Linked DNA regions of Arabidopsis thaliana. The protein of the gene in region 2 interacts with the protein of the main gene of each other region in a pairwise test. Each region holds a gene or a part of one and is shown on either strand. Other genes may lie near its edges.

Region 1 (5,878 bases), on a different chromosome or scaffold from region 2:
TTCATTGATTTGTTCAAAATGTCATCCTTTTAGGTTTCGCTGTTTTTGAGAGAAATTTGGGAAATTTTCTAATTTAGCGTTTATTTTTTTTTACACGGTTTCTTTAATCTAAGACTCGGGTTAAAAAATTGGAAATTCTAATGCGATTTTTGCTTTTCTATTAATAAAGTAAAACTTGGTGAGCAAGTAAAACACCCTTGGTGCCCAAGTTGTTTCTGTTCCTCTTTATAACTATAAATTCCGTGACTCGATAATTTCTGTTTTCTGAAATTGAGAGGAAGAGACTGATTCAAAACCTTTTTTTTTCCTATCTTGTAGATTCTTAGATTGCGACTATAAAGAAGAAGATGGCTGTATATGAACAAACCGGAACCGAGCAGCCGAAGAAAAGGAAATCTAGGGCTCGAGCAGGTGGTTTAACGGTGGCTGATAGGCTAAAGAAGTGGAAAGAGTACAACGAGATTGTTGAAGCTTCGGCTGTTAAAGAAGGAGAGAAACCGAAACGCAAAGTTCCTGCGAAAGGGTCGAAGAAAGGTTGTATGAAGGGTAAAGGAGGACCAGATAATTCTCACTGTAGTTTTAGAGGAGTTAGACAAAGGATTTGGGGTAAATGGGTTGCAGAGATTCGAGAACCGAAAATAGGAACTAGACTTTGGCTTGGTACTTTTCCTACCGCGGAAAAAGCTGCTTCCGCTTATGATGAAGCGGCTACCGCTATGTACGGTTCATTGGCTCGTCTTAACTTCCCTCAGTCTGTTGGGTCTGAGTTTACTAGTACGTCTAGTCAATCTGAGGTGTGTACGGTTGAAAATAAGGCGGTTGTTTGTGGTGATGTTTGTGTGAAGCATGAAGATACTGATTGTGAATCTAATCCATTTAGTCAGATTTTAGATGTTAGAGAAGAGTCTTGTGGAACCAGGCCGGACAGTTGCACGGTTGGACATCAAGATATGAATTCTTCGCTGAATTACGATTTGCTGTTAGAGTTTGAGCAGCAGTATTGGGGCCAAGTTTTGCAGGAGAAAGAGAAACCGAAGCAGGAAGAAGAGGAGATACAGCAACAGCAACAGGAACAGCAACAGCAACAGCTGCAACCGGATTTGCTTACTGTTGCAGATTACGGTTGGCCTTGGTCTAATGATATTGTAAATGATCAGACTTCTTGGGATCCTAATGAGTGCTTTGATATTAATGAACTCCTTGGAGATTTGAATGAACCTGGTCCCCATCAGAGCCAAGACCAAAACCACGTAAATTCTGGTAGTTATGATTTGCATCCGCTTCATCTCGAGCCACACGATGGTCACGAGTTCAATGGTTTGAGTTCTCTGGATATTTGAGAGTTCTGAGGCAATGGTCCTACAAGACTACAACATAATCTTTGGATTGATCATAGGAGAAACAAGAAATAGGTGTTAATGATCTGATTCACAATGAAAAAATATTTAATAACTCTATAGTTTTTGTTCTTTCCTTGGATCATGAACTGTTGCTTCTCATCTATTGAGTTAATATAGCGAATAGCAGAGTTTCTCTCTTTCTTCTCTTTGTAGAACAATAAGTGTACGTAATTAACAAAAATTATAACCATAATTTACAATTACAGTTCTAAAAAAATCTTGAATTTAGAGAAAAGAATCATGGATAAAATAACTTGGCAAAGAAAAGCTCGTTCCAAGTATCTTGAAGACCAGGCAAGCACCAATGTATACAGTCTGAGTAGCTAGCCGGATTTGCTAGCTGCTCCTTCGTCAATGGGCTCCATTGCTTCTTGTAGATTGACGTGTGCGCGTCTTTCCGATAGCCAGAGAGTTGTGTAATGTTAAGTACCGTCACCGGAAACTCTGCTCTTTGGTCTAATTCCTCTCCTATCACTTTCATTAAGGTTTTGCTGCAGTCTGATGGCCAATGGTTCATGTCTTGGATCGGTGTCGTTTGATTGTAACAATTTTTTCCTTGTTCGCCTCCCCAATCCTCGCCCCTGATCATGGAGGTAGACAAATATGAAACCTTTGTATGCTAAATCTTAGTGTGGTTTCTAATTGCGGATCATGTTATAAGCCACATTTACTTAAACTATTAAAGATAAACCGGATCAATCTAAACTCCATTACTCATTTCATTCAATACCAAATCCGGACTACATTGTTCTAAGCCATATATCTCCTCTCTTTTTGGTTCCTGGTTTTGAATTTGAAGTGTTTATAGATAGTTAAATCACAGTAAAGTTCAAGAAGTTACTGACTTGTAATGAGTAGGAGACATGGTAGCAAAGAAAACCCTCGTCTTCAATGGATCCATATTCTTCTTCACCCATTTAACCATAGTCTTCAACGCCATTCTATAAGCATCTTCACTCTCCATCTCAACGATTCTCTTCTTCTCATCCTTGAAAGAACCTTCCCTTCAAATAACAAATCGAAAAAAATAATCAAATCATAAGTATTATACAGAAAAGTATTTGAGAACCTATACTTAAGAAACAATGACGAGAGCTTTAAATTTCATGATTGATAACATACAAGATCTTCATTTTGAAGCCAGTCCTCCACCACAAGTATGTGTTGAACACAACTATATCAGCCCCTCGCCAATGCCTACCGTGTTTGTTGATCGATCCTTTCCTCACAATTCGATCTGATACTCTATGAACTGTTGCGTTATCTGAATTCGATTCTAGAAGAAACGGTGCCCAATAGAACTCAATCGTTGCATTGTAATCCTACATAAACATACCACAAGAATCTATAAGAATCCTAACCAAGCCAACAGTTTTCACATCTAAGCTTAATCTTTGTCATCCTCATACTCAGATCTCTATGAATTGTAACATCAGATTCTACAAAGCAACTTCAATGGCTTCCGCAAGACTTTCTAAATCTGAACCAAACTTACCTTGAGAGAGAAGACGGTGAGTGATCCGAAAGTATCCATGGATTTGGAGTTCTCTGGGATTTGTGAATGAAGAAGACAGATGAGAGAAACATACATTCCTCTGTTCAACGAATCTCCAACGAACATCATCTTCTTCCCTCTTAAGCTCTCCAACATCACCGTCGCATTAAACCTATTAACACATTCAACAACCACAGAGCAAATCCGATCTGAAGATCAATCACCGAATCGCATTCAAAATCGAACGGAGAGAGAGACTAACGAAGGAAGTGAGCAGGAATCAGGTCGCCATCTCCATGACTGATAATCACTATCGGGACGGCCATGCGTGCGGCAAGTGAGCTGCGGCTGAATGTACGGACACTCGGATTCTCTGTAAAGTGGACGCGTTGACCAGTCTTTGACCCAATTCCCTTTGAAGACATCGCATCCTTCCGGCGTTTTACCTACTGCAAAAGCAGGTGGCGGAGGAGATGGCGGTGGAGGAGATGGTGGTGGAGGAGACGGTGGTGGAGGAGAAGGCGGAGGAGGAGATGTTGGTGGAGGCGGAGGAGGTTCGTCAACTACAACGACGATTGCGGATTGGTGGACGATCGTCGGAGAGTGAAGAGATCGACGAGAGAAAGAGATGAAATCGTGGCCGTAGATGAAGGCGGCGAGTAAGATGAAAGCGAGTACGGTGAAGAAGAAGTGTGTGAGACGGCGTTTTCTACGGTTAGACGGTGAAAACAACGCCGTTGTCATATTTTTTTTTTTCTTTTATTATAACGTTTACCTTTTTTTTTCTTTTTCCTTTTTACGCCTTTCTCTTTTTATGGTGTAGTAATGACAAAATTTGGTTTGATTAAAACTTTAATTTGGAGTATACTGAATTATTATAGTATATGATTTTAATGTTTATAAACAAAGCTATAATTTGTTGTACTTGCACGATCCAAAACCAAACCCATGTTCTTGCCCATAATTAAGCACGACTGTTTATATTTTAATTCAAACTTACAAAATTGGAACAATTTCGTTGCTTGTATCCAATGAACTTATCTATCTCCAAATTAGTCTGAATTCCAATTTGGATTACGGTGTTATAAAACAAAAAGAAAGCAAGAAAAGCCACTACACTTTTTGCTAATCACATGTTTGAACTTTTAAAGGATCAACAATAACATTTAACTTTGTTTGTATTCAAAGGCCTTATAAGCATTTTATCAGATCCAATAAAGAAGAATCCAACTTTTCATGCCTTAATCAGTAATCACAGGCCAAGGCCCATATAAATATCTTATCTCTCTGCTTTCGTGTAAGTTTACTTTATAAAAAAAATGAAATTGTCATGTCGTTTAGATTCACATCAAAAGAATGATAAATTCACATGCTCTGTTTTTTTTCTTCTTTAATTTGGCGTACGAATAAACCAAAAGAAGAATAAATTAAATAAAAAGCCATCGTCATCATCTTCCTTCGTTGACCACTGCAAAATGCGAGAACTTCTTCGCGCCTATTTCTCTCGAAGAACTCTCGTATCTCTTTACAATCTCTTCTTCACCCTCTCCCGTAAGCTCCTCACTTCATTTCCCCTCTCTCTCCTCATGCCCAAATCCAACGATGACGACGTTGCACAATCTGAAGCCGTTCCGTTGCTTGATCTTGTCAAGCCATCGTTACCTATATCTTTCCCGATCAAAGCTCTTCAAGACCTGAAATCTCGCTCTTACTTTGATTCCTTTCATTTCCAGTTTAATCGCTCCACAGTACCTTTCCGCCGAAACTCCGACTGTTTACCGAATCGCCCAAGGGTTTTAGTCTGCCATGACATGAAAGGAGGGTATGTAGATGACAAGTGGGTACAAGGGTGTGAAAACGAAGCCGGATTTGCGATTTGGCATTGGTACTTGATGGACATTTTTGTTTACTTCTCTCATTCTCTGGTCACTATTCCTCCTCCTTGCTGGACCAATACTGCTCATAGGCATGGCGTTAAAGTAAGTAAGCTCAAAACTTTTTGATTGTTCAACATCCAAAGTTTCGATTTTTATTGAGATATCTCTGAGTTTGCTGATTAGGATGATAAAATTAGAGAGTTTGATTGTTTGTGTACAGAGATATGAATATTGCTGAGGATTTTATTGGTAAAAGTGTTTACTTTCTTGTGTGTTATGGAAATATAAAGGTATTGGGGACTTTCATCACAGAATGGGATGAAGGAAAAGCTACCTGCAAAGAGATGCTTGCCACAAAGGAGTCTGCTCAAATGTATGCAGAGCGTTTGGCTGAACTTGCTACTGCTCTAGGCTTTGATGGGTGGCTGGTGAGCATTTTTTGCTTGGTTTTTATAAGATATCTGTATTTGATGGGTGGCTGGTGAAGAAAGACTTCTATAATATATAGACTGTCACTTGCAGATAAATATAGAGAATGATATAGATGAGGAACAGATTCCAAATATGAAGGAATTCGTCAGCCATCTAAAAAAAGTCTTGCATTTATCGACACCTGGGGCTTTAGTCATATGGTGAGTTGATCAGAAGTTTTTCTTTGTTCTTTTTGTATACCACTTTGTTCTGATAACTTTCTGCAGGTATGACAGTGTCACTGTTCGTGGTAATCTTCAGTGGCAAGATCAATTGACTGAGCTGAACAAACCTTTCTTTGACTTATGCGATGGAATATTCATGAACTACACATGGAAGGTCTGTCTATGGGTTTGATCAATCTCTCGAGTCTCAGTTTCTTCTATTTGTCTTGTTTTACTATTAGTGAGTAATGATGTATCAGGAGAGCTACCCAAACCTATCAGCTGAAGTTGCTGGGGACAGAAAATTCGATGTCTACATGGGAATTGATGTTTTTGGGCGGGGCTCTTTTGGTGGTGGGCAATGGACTGTATGTCTCAGCCACTCTTTAATATTTGCTTCTCTATTGGTGTAGAGTACAAAACAATGATCTATACTTAAATATTTCTTTTCTTCCTATTCTTTTACATGCT
Region 2 (6,826 bases):
TATTGTGTCTACAAGAACTATATCTTTGGATCAATTTAAGAAACAAACATGTTAACAAAAGAAAAAGTAAACCAAGAAAACAAAGTCACGTTGTGAGTACTATATTCTCAAACACCTACAAATATGTTGACCAAACCAGACTTATGTTCGAAAATTCTGCATTGCTTAATATAGTAATAGAAAATAAATATAATACTTATGTAATGGCCACGAAAAAGTCCAACGTTTTTACCCAATCTGTTTCTCCCATAGCAACATTGTCATTTTCATGTTCTTGTCAATGATAGGAATATATACTCTTGCATCAATCGAATGGTCAATCTGACTTTAAGAACCCGACATTTAACCCAATCAATCACGCATTGATTGACCTAATCTGTGAAAGATACATCAATGTTTAATTAATCAGACATTTCTTAGACAATAATGAAGTAGTGATGAGTGATGACTCGTCTAAAATAAGCACCTCTAAACAATTTTCACCAGTTGGACCCAACGAAATGAATCCTTAGCTTGAAACACTGTGTCAGCCTCAGAATCAGTAACTTGTAAGCCTAAAGCGCAACTTTAAAGCTTTTCTTAAAGAACCATGGGTAATACACCAACTAAATGGTTTCTTAAAGAACGAAAAAAAAACGCAATAAAAGAATGGATCAGTTCTGAAGATTTCAACATTCATAAAAAAAAATGATAATAAAATTGAAGTTATCAACATCAGTAGTACAATTTCCATCACGGTGGTTTCTTAACGCCCAAGGATCATAGATTGTGTCATCTCATTGACGGTAAACAAATCCTTAGACAGAGATGATTCATCATCCCTAGAGTGCACTACAAATGTGGGTTGTTTTGGTGATGGAAGATCTGATGTTGTCGTGAGCATAGCCAGCAACTCAAGTGTGTTTGGTCTGTCTGCAGGTTGGTGTTGTACACAGAGCAGACCAATCTGAACACACCTTCCAACTTCTAACGGACGACATGAATCAGCAAGATCTTGGTCCAAAAGATCAATTCCTTTGGTTTCACCCCAAGATTCCCATGCCTGTTGTTTAGACGTTTAGTTTCATATCTTAAAGAGTATCAGAGCAAGAACCACTTTTGAAATCCTTTGTAAATGTGTGAAAACATAAAGAATTAACTTACATATGCGAGAAGTGTTTTTCCTTCTTCGCCATAGCTGAACCTTGAGATCTTCTCTCCGATGATAATTTCTAGCAGTAGAACTCCGAAGCTGTAAATGTCTGATTTCTCAGAGAATACTCCGGTCCATGCATACTCAGGAGACATATATCCTCTGGTCAAAAATAAAATAGTATCATATCACCTAGTTTAATATTGGACTAACATGACAATGAATCTTGCCAAGCATGTTATTAAAGACAGGTTCTTACAGAGTTCCTACAACCCTGCGAGTTTTGTCCTGACATTGGGTTCCCTCATACATCCGAGCCAATCCAAAATCTGATATTTTCGGGTTCATTTTCTCATCCAGAAGAATGTTGCTGACCTTCAGGTCTCGGTGAATTACCTTGAGGCGTGAGTCACGGTGAAGATAAAGAAGTCCACGTGCAATACCTTGAACGATATCAAATCTCTTTGGCCAATCAACCTCGAGCTTTTTTCTTGCATCTACCATATACAAGTTATCAGATAAGAAATTCCGGTATAGGGAGAAAAAGCTGCAAAACAAAAAGAGAAAGACCAAGAAGTGACCCACCAAAGACAAAAGTATCAAGGCTTTTGTTCAACATAAACTCATAGATCAGTAGTTTCTCTTCTCCTTCGATGCAACATCCCAAAACCCGGACTAAGTTTCTGTGTTGGAGTTTTGATATCAGTACTATTTCATTCATGAACTCCTCTTTTCCCTGTCCGGAGCTGCTAGAAAGCTGTTTTACAGCAATTTCTTTCCCATCTTGTAACTTTCCCTGAAACAGATTGCAGAAGGTCAGTTCGAGGGCATAAACAGAGGATCTTGAAGAGCAAAAAGGATAACTTCTCCTGACCTTGTAAACAGAACCAAATCCACCTTGTCCGAGTTTGTTTGATAGACTGAAATTATTGGTGGCAGTTTGTATGGTATTCATCTCAAAAAATTCTAAACCTGGGACCTCCTTTGATTTCAGATCATTCCTCCAGGCATCCTTTAACGTATAGGCTGAAAATTGAGTTAGAACTCGCGTGTTAGGTCATAATATCTTCAGATATTTTGAAGCAAAGAGAACATATGATAGTTCAAAGAACATAGAGTGCGTCGATTTAGTGTAGGTTTGACGTAGTGGGAAAAACTTCGCTTTTTATCAATTTAAGTTTTCAGTAATTTGTAATAAATGTAACGACAAAGAGATACTATGATAATCAGTGTGTACCTTTATGTTTCACTCTGTATCTCCAGAAACCAAATGCAGCAGAAGTCAATATCACAAACAGAGAAAGGCTCACAGTACTAGCAACAATGATTTTGTTGCGCTTATTTCCACCTGAGATATTTAAGACATAAATAAATTAAACAATAAACCATATTGCTATCAAAGAGAACACTAGAGTTGAAGACAAAGTTATAATTAACAGACAAGATCGTCTATGTTATCTTTTAAGCCGTACCTAGTTCAGAGTGTGCAAGACGAATGGACAGAATTTCTCCTCCAGCAGAAAATTGCACAGCGTCCATTAGGTTCTGGTTCCAGATTAAGCACCCTATTCCATGGATATAAGCAAAGGCCAAGCAAGAACAATTGTGGAGGCAACTTTGGTGGCATTCTTCAGCATCCACAGAACTTTCATATTCGTAAAAGTCTGGAAGCTTTACGTTGGTAACAGGATGGAAGATATTTACATCTTTGCCAGTAGAGTTTCCTTGACAATGTAGTTCCGTAAGCCTCGCACAACCACCAGTCCAGTTTCCTCTTTTCCATTCCTCAGTGGAATGAGGAACAAATCCTTTCAAGCATTTGCACTTTAAAGGTACTGACACAATACACAACCCAAATGGTCCACATACACCGTAAATATCGCATGAATTGGCTGGAGCCATGTAGCTTAATTCCCAGTCCGTTCCATTATGCCGAAACCTTTTCATTGATCCTTCTGATGATATAATTATACGTGAAAGTTTGAAACTTCTATCAAAATAAGTAAAGAATCCTGACCCGTTAGCATCCTGCTGAAGGCTGAATGGACTTGCATATGTGTCATCCATTAGTGGTATCCCTGTGAACCTTGTTTTAGCCCATGGACCGGTTCTATAATAACGCGTCGAGCCTCTCATAATAAGCACCTGTGATGGCACTTGTGGTGTAATCTGACCCACAAATACGCCAGGCGATGGATCAGTGTCAGTTTTCCAAGAAGTCAACACCCGCTTCTCACCTGTGGCGAGATTATACATCAGGCTTGAGAAAGGTAGCATAGTGTCACCAAAGTGCTCAAAGCTTTCCCATAAAGTTCTTCCCGAAGCATTGTCTATGACAACTAGATTTCCGTTGTCTGTAAGCTCTGCACGAGACCCATTAGATGCAAAATTTTCTCCGATGGACCACACAACACCATGTTTGCCATTAAACAATAGAAGACTACCATTGCTGCTGATAGCAAGATTTGCCGATGTGTCTGTAGTAGGTGTTTCTCTATTTGCCACCCACACAACCACCCGGGGAATGATACCCTTGAACCAGATTCCCACATACAGATTTTGGGAGTTATTAGGACTGAAAAACCCCAATTCATAAATTCCATTAGAGGAGCTGAGTGTTTGTTCGACTGACAAAGGACTTTCTGTCGTTATCCCTGCATAGCTAAAACGTAATAGGACGGTAAACAAGAGCAAACAAGCAAAGAACACAATCCTCTTCTTCCCCATGTGTCTACAAGAACTATTTTCTTAAGATTAATTTAAAAAACAAAGAATTATTTATTTAGCAAGAAAGTAAGTCACAATAACAAAGTCAGGGGCTTGTGAGGACCTTAAAACAATGCTGACTGCCTGACCGCAGTTGTGTTCCAAAATTCTGCATTACTTCATCCACAATCAAATTATTAGTATAAAAATAATATTAATTATGTTTTCAGTTTGTCACGGAGAAGTCTAACCTTTTAACCCAATCAACCATTCAAGTTGACCTTGGAACCAATGAAAGTTAGACATCTACACTCTGAGATGAAAATATCAATCAATCAGATTTTTCAACATTAGTTTATGAAGCGAAGTGAGAAAGTTAGCCAGGAAAAGCAAAATCGCAGGGACTTGTGGGAACTGTTTTCTGGGACCTATAAGCAATGTTGACCACAAGAGATGAGCAAAAGGTCTGCAATATAGAGTCTTGACATATTGACTGATTCAAAGCTGCAATATCTCAGCAAAAAACAGTCTAGGTTCCCCACTTGGCATTGTGAGTAGTAATTTCCATGAAACTTTACTAAACCTTATCTCATAATACCAAAAAAATTTCAATAATTTCCAAGAAGTCTAACCTTTTACCCAATCAACATTTGACCTCACAAAGCAACATTTTTCATGTCATTGTTAAGTTGTTGGGCCAGAACCAGTGAATGTTAGGCATGTATACCCTGCATTAGTCAAAAGATGAGAATTTATAGCCTGGCTAGAAGAATCCAATCGATCGACTTCAGACTGAAATATTGTGTTGTTTCCATGTCCTTGCCAGGTCTTGGAGTCCAAGAACCAAATCTACATTCCCTGCAACAATTGAAAGATGAATATATGAATAAATCAGATGAATTAACATCAAATCTTTCTTATTGGTTTCTGAAGTCGTTGTTTTTATCTTACAACACAGTTTAAATTGTTGACTAGATATACCGGAACAAGTTCTTGTACTGCAAACTACGTTAAATCTCGTTCAAGCATTTCACCGAACACTTAGAGTGCATAATCGCTAATGTCGTTGAACTCTAGTTCCCCAAATCGAGACCGAAACTACACATGGAAGTATGGCTGATTCCAACTCCCAAAATCTGGGCTTAAGTGATTCTCCCCCAAATTTAACATTGGTGTCACCGGCGAGAGCAGAAGTTGTGAGACGACACACATTGGAACCGAAGAAACCCCAGAATAGGAGATGGGTCGAGAACCACTGAATGAGCCAACATATAGGTCGAAGGATCCATCGACTCTTCTGGGTTGCCTTCAATCTCTTCCAAGTTCGTGAGATGTTTAAGTTAAAAACCTTTTTATTTGGATTAAACAATGTTGAAGTTTTTATTTTAAACAATGGTGAAGTCATTAACACTGAAAAATGAACTCTTTAAGAGAACAATTTTAACACACTTCAATTCCACAATTTCCATCACAAATGGTTTCTTAACGCCCAAGGATCACAGATTGCGTCATCCCATTGACGGTGATCAAATCGTTAGACAGTGATTCGTCATCTCTCGTGTGAAATGCAAATGTGGGTTGTTTTGGTGATGGAAGATCTGATGTTGTGGTGAGCATAGCCAGCAACTCAAGTGTGTTGGGTCTGTCTGCAGGTTGGTGTTGTACACAGAGCAAGCCGATTTGAATACATCTCCCAACTTCTAATGGGTGACATGAATCAGCAAGATCTTGGTCCAAAAGATCAATTCCTCTGTATTCAGACCAAGATTCCCACGCCTGTTGTGATTTCAGACCAAGCGAATATAAGAGCAATACATGTTTTCAAACAGTCAGCGAGATCTGCGCACTTAATGAGAATCAAATACAAGATCTTACTGTGTCAATGCCTATAAATCTTACTTACATATGCAATAAGGGTTTTTCCTTCTACGCCATAGCTGAATCTTGAGATCTTCTCTCCACTGATGATTTCTAACATTAGAACTCCGAAGCTGTAGATGTCAGATTTCTCAGAGAACATCCCAGTCCATGCATACTCTGGAGACATATATCCTCTGCACATATATCAAATAGTTTCTCCCAAGTTAATATCTGATATTAACTTTGAATCTTAGTTAATCATGTCTTTGAAATTAGATTCTTACAGAGTTCCTACAACCCTGCGAGTGTTATCCTGATATTCGGTCCCCTGATACATCCGAGCCAATCCAAAATCTGATATTTTTGGGTTCATTTTCTCATCCAGAAGGATGTTGCTGACCTTCAGGTCTCGGTGAATAACTCTGAGGCGTGAGTCATGGTGGAGATAGAGAAGTCCACGTGCAATACCTTGAATGATATCAAATCTTTTTGGCCAATCAATCTCCAGCCTTTTTCTTGAATCTAAGAAATAAAACTGTCAGACAAACAGTTTCCACATATATATAAAAAGTTACTGAATAGTAAAGGAAGGATGCAAGAAGGGACCAACCAAAGAGAAAGGTATCAAGGCTTTTGTTCACCATAAACTCATAAATCAATAGCTTCTCTTCTTCTTCGATGCAACATCCCAAAACCCTGACTAAGTTTCTGTGTTGGAGTTTTGAGATGAGTACTATTTCATTCATAAACTCCTCTTTTCCCTGTCCAGAGCTGCTAGAAAGCCGTTTAACAGCAATTTCTTTCCCATCTTGCAGCTTTCCCTAAAACAGAATTGCAGAAGGTCATTTTGAGAGTATAAACAGAGAATCGAGAAGAGCAAAAAGGATAAATTCTCTGACCTTGTAAACTGAACCAAATCCACCTTGTCCGAGTTTGTTTGATAGACTAAAATTATTGGTGGCGTTTTGAATGGTATGCATATCAAAGAAATCTAAACCTGGGACATCTTGTGGTTTCAGATCATTCTTCCATGCATCCTTTGATATATGAGCTGCAATTCAAAACATGGCGTTATAATCGTATGTGAGCATATTAAGCTTTTTTATTTTTTAAAGCCGAAATCAATGT

What was found.
Region 1: the proteins of AT1G61490 (region 2) and TBL32 interact in a protein complementation assay, tested with the Arabidopsis thaliana proteins (one large-scale study listed by BioGRID).

Annotation. Positions count from the first base shown.
Region 1 is NC_003074.8:3,455,662-3,461,539, forward strand, and holds TBL32 (TRICHOME BIREFRINGENCE-LIKE 32), read right to left. Parts: upstream 3,720-5,878; 5' UTR 3,640-3,719; coding exon 3,158-3,639; intron 3,068-3,157; coding exon 2,896-3,067; intron 2,723-2,895; coding exon 2,523-2,722; intron 2,405-2,522; coding exon 2,246-2,404; intron 1,982-2,245; coding exon 1,639-1,981; 3' UTR 1,341-1,638; downstream 1-1,340. Other genes in the region: DREB2B (DRE/CRT-binding protein 2B), read left to right, coding at 348-1,340; ENGase85B (Glycosyl hydrolase family 85), read left to right, coding at 4,371-4,874, 5,063-5,200, 5,295-5,404, 5,471-5,582, 5,668-5,775.
Region 2 is NC_003070.9:22,684,409-22,691,234, forward strand, and holds AT1G61490 (S-locus lectin protein kinase family protein), read right to left. Parts: upstream 5,204-6,826; 5' UTR 4,820-5,203; intron 4,697-4,819; 5' UTR 3,860-4,696; coding exon 2,605-3,859; intron 2,481-2,604; coding exon 2,370-2,480; intron 2,159-2,369; coding exon 2,007-2,158; intron 1,929-2,006; coding exon 1,718-1,928; intron 1,630-1,717; coding exon 1,392-1,629; intron 1,295-1,391; coding exon 1,144-1,294; intron 1,043-1,143; coding exon 746-1,042; 3' UTR 723-745; downstream 1-722. Other genes in the region: AT1G61500 (S-locus lectin protein kinase family protein), read right to left, coding at 5,321-5,614, 5,742-5,892, 5,983-6,220, 6,309-6,519, 6,598-6,749.